2 linked regions of the Rattus norvegicus genome follow. The protein of the gene in region 2 interacts with the protein of the main gene of each other region in a pairwise test. Links are inferred from orthologs where the notes say so. Each region holds a gene or a part of one and is shown on either strand. Other genes may lie near its edges.

Region 1 (4,030 bases), on a different chromosome or scaffold from region 2:
TTGCAGCACGCACATAGCCGAGGCTTGACTTCCCACCCAGCACCCTAATCTAGCATGCCTATAGCCTCGGTGATTCGGTGATTCCGGAGACTAAGGTGAGAGGATCGCCTGAACCCAGGAGTTCAAGGGCAGCTCAGTTGACAGGGAATACTCTTTTGCAAAATAAATCAAAGGACTTAAATGGGCTTGGTATATGCCTGTAAGCCCCAGCACTCTGGAGGTGGAAGTAGGGGTGATTAGAACCTCAAGGTTGAGCTGGAGAGACGGCTCAGAGGTTAAGAGCACTGACTGCTCTCGCTAAGGTCCTGAGTTCAACTCCCAGCAACCACATGGTGGCTCACAACCGTCTGTAATGGAATCCAATGTCCTTTTCTGGTGTGTCTGAAGACAGTGACAGTCTAGTGCACATACATACAATAGATATACAATCTTAAAAAAAAAAAAAAAAAGAACCTCAAGATTAATGTTAGCTACATCAGGTGTTCGAGGCCAGTGTTCAATATATGAGATCTGGCCTCCGAAGTGGGGAATAGAGTTCCTCTGTGGATGCACGACTTATGCTCTAGGCAGATGGAATAATAATAGTTACCTCTTCACGGGATGAAGAGTAGATGAGATCACAGAATCAAGACGCTCAGCCCAGTGGGGGGACAAGTTGTGGGAGTTCACGTCGCTACCTCAGTACTGCGTATCACTTCCCCTTCTTGGGCCAAACGCCAACCCTAGGCACCCAGCGCAAGCTTAGGTGTCTTAGTCATCTGGGCTCACGCTTACCATTTCTGTCTTGGAGGACGATGTGCCTGGAGGGCCCTCGCCACCCGCCCCCACTCACATGGCTCAGAGGGAGAACAGAGTCTTGAATGGATTTTGGACCTCAAGACTGGCCTCTTTCCACTCTACTGTGCTCTTGTTCTGAACATCCTTCCCCCATTTTGGAACAAGTGTGCTGGGGGTGGGGGAGGAGCTCCCTAAGACAGTGGAGCAGGGCGGGGGCCCCCTCCTAAGAATCTAGGAGAACGTCAGAGACTGCCACCTGCTCCAAGCTTAAATTTCCCTGCAAAGGACCCTGGCTAAATTAGGTAATGGGCTAGGACTCTGGGAGGGGAGGGGCTTGCTGCCCCCTGCACCTGATTGGTCAGGGTATCCAGTTCTGGGGAGTAGGGAGGAGGGAAGAGAGGATGCCCCTACAAATCCTGAAGGCTAGAGAGATCTGGGGCACCTTTGGGTGGTGGAGTGCGGAGGAGAGGACCCACAGCAGAGGAGTCCCAGTCACCAGCAACCATGGTAAGGACAAGAAGGGTCTTCACGCTTTTGTCCACAGGCCTCTTTCAGTCCTAGAACTGTGTGCTCTGTGGGCAGTAATGTGGGTGCCTGAAGGTAGAAGATAAGGGTTGTTGGAACCCAAGTCCTGTGGAGACATCCTGGGAAGGCTGGGGGAGGGGGTCAGGATAGTCCAGGAGTTGATCCTCAAGGCTATGACTTCCTGGCCACCTTGAGGCTTGGGACAATGTTATTGGGTACCCAGAGCTGTGTGGGAAGGGTCTTAGCCTGTCTGCTCCCTAGGAGAGACGGAGACCATGAAAGCAGAAAAGTCTCCCAGCAAGGCAGACAGAGTAGGTTCCATGGGCCCAGCCAAGCCTGTGGCAACCAGAGAAGGAAGGTTTCCTCTAAGAATCCCGAGGAGAGGATGGTGGTTAGTAGGGCTGGGTGACAGGGTAGAGGTAGAGACCCTGACCATCCACAGAGGAGCCCTGATCTGGGGCTGCCACTTTCTTCTGAGTACCCTCCCGCTTCACTTGAAGGAGTAATTGGACTCCAGAGACCAGCTGCCATTGACAATGCCCAACTAAAAATAGCCTATCCTCCTGGATCAGGCCAAGGGACGGAGGAGGGAGGAGGAACTGGGCCAGCTGGCTAAAGAATGTCTTGGGACTCACCCCTTCCTCACCACCTCGAGTCCAAAGCCCTGACCCAGAGTGGCCTGGAAAAAATTCACAGAAACCTTACTTTCATGGTTACATGTGGAGCTCCAGGCCAACCCGAGCTACACAGCAAGACTATCTAAACACCCAAACCAGGACGTCGTAACAGAACAGAGGTGTCTTATTTTCACACCAACGCATGGCCCCATCACATTTGACAGTGAGAGAGGTGTTTACCCCGATGACCTAGTGAGAAGTTTTGCCCCCGAGAACCCTCTGACACAAAGCTGCCCATCTCTTCTTGTGGTCTCAGCGTCCGAGTGCTTGGTAGATGTTCTGTGGCTTTGCATTCTGCTATTTAGTTGAGGACAAATACTTATTGACCAGCTAGTCAAGTCCCAGGCAGCATTAGAAGACAGGGACATCAGAAAATCACACTTGAATAGTGCTAACACATTCAAGCCCTCTCTTACCCCCGATGTCCTATTATCCCAGCAAAGTCACAAGAAGGGTGACTTGCCAAAAGTCACTGCTGGGATGGGGGTTTCTTGATGTGGCTCTCCGAAGATAAATGGGAAACTGTGGGTATAACCAATGTCCCCTTTGCACTGGGGATGGTCACCAAGGGTACCTGGGAGGTGCAGCTAGCTTTGGAGTGGCTCTGGAGGACCTGGGGGGTGGGGCACTTCCTAATATAAGAGAGGGCTGGGGAAGCTGAAGCTGGGGTGAGAGTCTGCCCTTCCACGCTCTGATTCTCTCTGTTTCCTATAGACGGACCAACAGGCTGAGGCCAGGTCCTACCTCAGCGAGGAGATGATCGCTGGTGAGTGAGGGTGGGCCGTTGGGGGAGATTAGGTGTAAAGTTGACCATCCAACTGGCCTCACCCATCGCTTCTTCCGTCTCATCCCCGCTAGAGTTCAAGGCTGCCTTTGACATGTTTGATGCTGATGGTGGTGGGGACATCAGCGTTAAAGAGCTGGGTACCGTGATGAGGATGCTAGGGCAGACACCCACCAAAGAGGAACTGGACGCCATCATCGAGGAGGTGGACGAGGATGGTGAGCTGGGCTCCCCCAAGGCAGGGACGGGGAGGAAAGGCTCAGCACACACTGGGCTAACACCTCCCGCCCCGCCCCCGCTTTGCTCCTTGCAGGCAGCGGTACCATCGACTTTGAAGAGTTCTTGGTCATGATGGTGCGCCAGATGAAAGAGGATGCGAAAGGGAAGAGCGAAGAGGAACTGGCTGAGTGTTTCCGCATCTTTGACAGGTGCGTGGGGCTTCTGGGATTCCGGACTTGGGAGCAGATGGAGCCTGCGGGCCTGAAGCGAAGGGGCAGGCTGGCCAGGGTGAGGCTGACCCTGTGTCCTGTTCTGTTCCTCTCTCCCAAAGGAACGCAGACGGTTACATTGATGCCGAGGAGCTGGCTGAGATTTTCCGGGCTTCTGGGGAGCATGTGACAGACGAGGAGATCGAATCCCTGATGAAGGATGGTGATAAGAACAACGATGGCCGCATTGACTTCGACGGTGAGGGCTAGCTTTGTGGGTGGGACTCTTGGTTTTGTGGGTGGGGCTCTTGGCTTTGTGGCTGGGGCTCTTGGCTTTGTGGCTGGGGCTCTTGGCTTTGTGGCTGGGGCTCTTGGCTTTGTGGCTGGGGCTCTTGGCTTTGTGGGTGGGGCTGGGCTTAGGCTAAGTTTCCTCCCACTCTCTAGGGGGGCCCCTTAGGATGTTCCGCAGCTTAGTGCAATGTCCCCATTAAAGACTAGGCACCCCTCTGCGCCCTGAGCGGTACGCCTGACATCATCCCACTCTTTCTCCGCAGAGTTTCTGAAGATGATGGAGGGCGTTCAGTAAGGAGCTGGTCTTCGTGTTCATCCAGACTGCAGGTCCCCTGGGCGTGGGCAACTCCATCCTTGCCTCCTTGCCCTACCAGGGAAAGGCTGCTCCTTTGGGCTCTGTGGCTGGAAGGAATAAAAGCAGACAATGTAAAGCTGGCCTGACTGACCAGGGGACTGATTGAGGGCAAAGGATCTTAGGGATTGCCTGGCTGGATTGACGCACAGAGCGTCCCCCGGAGCCGCTGGGTATGGAAAGAAGGAGGGGTCAC
Region 2 (4,013 bases):
CTCTAGAGGAAATGAGCCCACCCCAGGCTGGCCAGTCCCCATCTCTAGAATTGATGAGCCCAACCCGGGCTGACCAGACCCCTTCTCTAGAAGCAATTAGCTTATCCCAGGCTGACCAGGCCACATCTCTAGAGGCGATGAGCCCACCCAGAGCTGACCAGATTCCACCTCTAGAGGCGATGAGCCCACTTCAGGCTGAGGTAGTCCTGCCTCTAGAAGCAATCAGTCCTCCCCAAGCAGACCTGGCCCCTCCTCCGGAAGTGATAAGTCCAGTCCAGGAAGCTTTGGCAATGTCCTCGGCGATTGCACCTCTAAAACATGTAACATGAACCGCGGGGACCAAGAATCCTACCTTTAACTGCTGAAGCAGGCTCCAGGACTGACACCAGCTCAGCCCACTGTTTTACTCTGCGTTCCTTCTCAACCCCAGTGATATAACTAGAATTTCAAATTCCTTTCCTTGAACTCTCAGTTCTAGTCTTTTTTGGGGTGTGTGTGTCTTAGATCATAATCTAAGATTTATCCTGACAAGAATCCCAGGCCAGAGGTACAACCCTGGGCTCCACATCCTCTTTTGCCTTGGGCCTTTCTTGACATGCTACTGTTGGAGGGACAAGGACATATCCTCCCTTGGATGCGGTTCAAATAAAGAGCGCAGGGTCACCTCTGTGTGTCCTGTCCTCTGTTGGTCTCCAGTGCCAAGAAGGGGGTGGGACAAGGGGGGATGGGCCCCGGATGGTGGGTTTCCAAGTGGACTTGGCTGAATTTCACATCAGTGTAGGCTGAGGACTTAGGGTCCTGCACATGAACCTTTAAACTAAACATGCTAAGGGCAGTGAAACTGACAGAAACATGGAGAGAAAAGTCACAGAAAGACTACATTTTAGTGAGGAACCTACATGTGAGGAAAGAAGGAAGGCCTGGATTTTTGGGTAATCTACACAGGAAACTGAAGTCTGGACTCTTGGATTTGAGAGAAGAGGGACCTTGCTACTGGGTTTTCCTGAGTCTAAAGGAGAAGGGAGCTGGGGCCCAGAGTCAAAAGGAGGAGGGGTGTAGATCCGGGCACCTTGGTTGGTCTAACTGGAGCTTTGCACACGGCTCCCCTCACACCCTGTTATCGCTCATCCTGGGAAGGGGAGGAGACAGCAGTATATTTAGTCTTTGTCCTCGCCCCTTATCTCAGTGTCCTCAGTGAGGCTTGAGCAGCACAGAGGGGACCCAACCCTCCAAGGTCACCAGGGACACCCTTCTAAGACCCTCCAGGAATCTGCAATCCCATTCTCTACCTCTGGAGATCAGCATGGCGGATGAGTATGTGAACCTTGGTAACCTTGAACTGGAGACCCCAAGGAACACGGTGCAGTCAGCCTTCAGGGTCCTTGTGAGGGTGCAACTAGGTTGAATTCTTGTCCTGAGATGGTAGGAGGCAAGGGTGGTTGGATTTCTGTAGAAATGAGGTAAGAATTCGGGAATCAGACTCCTGGGGTCTAAGGGAGTAGAAAAGGTAGCCCCAACCTTGTTCAGGAGGACTGCTGTCAATGATTCTATCTTCACGGTTTCTCTCCCTTCAGGAGCAGCGATGCGGTGAGCACTGTGACCTAAGAAGTGGGGTAGGGAACCCGTGGCCCAGAGAGGGTGCTGCAGGGAGAGGACTGGGGACCGATGGGCAGGGGAATCTGCAGCTAGAGGTGAGGAATCCGGGAAGGACTGGATGGGAGGGTTGGGGTAGTAATGTAGCCTGCTTCAATTTCAGGCTGGGGAACCCCAGCCGGCGCCTGCTCCTGTCCGACGTCGCTCCTCGGCCAACTACCGAGCCTATGCCACCGAGCCACATGCCAAGGTGGGGAGGGGTCCTAGAGGACGGTACTTCTGGGTTCAGAATCCTCTGGGACCCCAGGGGCGGCACCAAGGCCTTGGAAAGGGGTGGAGCCCGATGGGTGGGGCAGAATTTCAAAGAGGTACAGGTTGGGGTTGGTGACAGCTGCCTGTGGGAGAAACTCCTCTGCCTACAGCAAGGCATAGGCGTGAGCACGGTGATTAGCAGTGGATAGATAGGCAGTGTGTAGCTCTAGTCAGAGACAAAGATTGGTGGATGGGACCGAAGGACGTGGCTTCCAGTGGACTCAGCATTCTGGTTGAAGAATGGGTGAGCCGAATGGTTATGCACTTGAGTGGGTGGTGGTGCCTTGCAGCCCCGCCCAATGTCCACTTTGGGACCTCTCACTGACCTTTCTCCCTATCACCCTGGCAGAAAAAGTCTAAGATCTCCGCCTCCAGAAAACTTCAGTTGAAGGTGATGAAGAGCTCGGAGGGGTGGGCCTTGGTGGGCGGAGCTTTTGGGGAGTGGTTTCGTTTCGGAGTGCGTCAGTCCCCCTACACACACACACACACACACACACACACACACACACACACACACGTGCGCGTGCACAGAACACAGAAACGGGGAAGGTTTTTTTTTTTTAATAAAAGACACAAACTTGGATGTTTGGATATTCTGTCTCTCTGGAAGATAGCGAGATAGAGGGAAATTTGTTATTCTTATACTTTCGGGGACCCTGTTTTCGGCTCCCACCATTCCGCAGACTCTGATGCTGCAGATTGCGAAGCAGGAGATGGAGCGTGAGGCAGAGGAGCGACGTGGAGAGAAGGGCCGCGTTCTGAGCACGCGTTGCCAGCCCTTGGTGTTGGATGGGCTGGGCTTTGAAGAGCTTCAGGTATCAGTTTACCAAGCAGGAATTCCTGATGAGCCTGGGTCCCGATGTTTCTCATCTCGGCCCTGGCATCTCTTGGGTATCAGGAGCACAAGAACCATCCCCAGTTCTGCTCAGGATCTGCAATCCTTATGCCAAGCTATACATTCAGTCTTACAATTCAAAATCCAGTGTATTTTTCCTGCCTTTGTCTGCTAAGTCTCAGAATTCTTGGCTCCTGGCCATTTTTTTTTTTAAGTTCCCTAGAGTGCGGATTCCAGTGTCAGCTTCCTTTCACCCCCTCCTTCTTCAGACTCAGGAGTCCAGACCCCAGCACTCCTCTCTCAAACTCAGGGGTCCAGAGCCTAGGCCTCCTTCCTCAGACCGGGAGGTCTCCTTTCTCAGATCAGAGACCTGAGTCTCCAGCCTTCCTCTCAACGCCCATGCATTCCTTCACCAGGACCTATGCCGGCAGCTTCACGCTCGTGTGGACAAAGTGGATGAAGAGAGATACGACGTGGAAGCAAAAGTCACCAAGAACATCACTGAGGTGGGAAGCCTGGGGAAGTCTGAGCACCTTCACTGTAGACCGAGATGTCCAGGACTGTAGCTTCAGACTGAGGGCTATGTCTGTGTGTACTTTAGACAACTCTAAGCAGAAGGCAGGCAGTGGCAAAGGCAGCTGTTCCCACAGAGAGACAACACGTGCAAGGTAGAACCTGGGTGGCTTAAATCGGTCTGTAGAAACTGAGCACTGAGTTGGGCTCTGGGAATAATGATCTGCACATCATTGGGCCAGGTCGTGTTAGAGGCTTTGATTGATGGGACTCGGAGTATCAGGAAGAGCACAAAGTTGCAGATTGGAGCCTTTAATCTGGAGTCAGAGCTGGAAGAGAGGAGGAAGCTTAGATACTGAGAGCAAGATAGGGATAAGGGGGAATTGTTTGTTAGAAGCTATGGGTAGGGAGGAAGCAGAGGGAAGACGCGGTCTCCTTGCCCCATATGGTGGTTCCCAGATTGCAGATCTGACCCAGAAGATCTATGACCTGCGTGGCAAGTTTAAGCGGCCCACTCTCCGAAGAGTGAGAATCTCAGCAGATGCCATGATGCAGGCACTACTGGGGACCCGGGCCAAGGAATCCTTGGACCTGAGGGCCCACCTCAAGCAGGTGAAGAAGGAGGACATTGAGAAGGTGAGTGTGGGCTAGGGTAAGAAGGAAGATGCTTGGGAAGGTCTGAGTGGCCATAAGGTCCAGACAGAGAGCAGACACATTTGGGGTTCTAGTGAGAAGCTACGGATAAAGGGAACTCAAGAAC

Evidence for each region.
Region 1: the proteins of Tnni3 (region 2) and Tnnc2 interact in binary tests that used the Homo sapiens proteins (3 or more experiments, as listed by UniProt). The two-hybrid records come from large-scale screens. The link is inferred for Rattus norvegicus from reciprocal best matches to the Homo sapiens genes TNNI3 and TNNC2.

The regions. Positions count from the first base shown.
Region 1 is NC_086021.1:173,932,498-173,936,527, reverse strand, and holds Tnnc2 (troponin C, skeletal muscle), read left to right. Parts: upstream 1-1,188; 5' UTR 1,189-1,281; coding exon 1,282-1,284; intron 1,285-2,693; coding exon 2,694-2,745; intron 2,746-2,837; coding exon 2,838-2,981; intron 2,982-3,076; coding exon 3,077-3,191; intron 3,192-3,313; coding exon 3,314-3,450; intron 3,451-3,745; coding exon 3,746-3,777; 3' UTR 3,778-3,917; downstream 3,918-4,030. UniProt on the Homo sapiens protein: Troponin is the central regulatory protein of striated muscle contraction. Tn consists of three components: Tn-I which is the inhibitor of actomyosin ATPase, Tn-T which contains the binding site for tropomyosin and Tn-C.
Region 2 is NC_086019.1:78,341,372-78,345,384, forward strand, and holds the start of Tnni3 (troponin I, cardiac muscle), read left to right. Parts: upstream 1-1,199; 5' UTR 1,200-1,303; coding exon 1,304-1,314; exon of another isoform or gene 1,315-1,419; coding exon of another isoform or gene 1,420-1,460; intron 1,461-1,574; coding exon 1,575-1,587; intron 1,588-1,756; coding exon 1,757-1,843; intron 1,844-1,930; exon of another isoform or gene 1,931-2,095; coding exon of another isoform or gene 2,096-2,149; intron 2,150-2,254; coding exon 2,255-2,296; intron 2,297-2,588; coding exon 2,589-2,720; intron 2,721-3,156; coding exon 3,157-3,246; intron 3,247-3,712; coding exon 3,713-3,889; intron 3,890-4,013. Other genes in the region: Dnaaf3 (dynein axonemal assembly factor 3), read left to right, coding at 1-329. UniProt on the Homo sapiens protein: Troponin I is the inhibitory subunit of troponin, the thin filament regulatory complex which confers calcium-sensitivity to striated muscle actomyosin ATPase activity.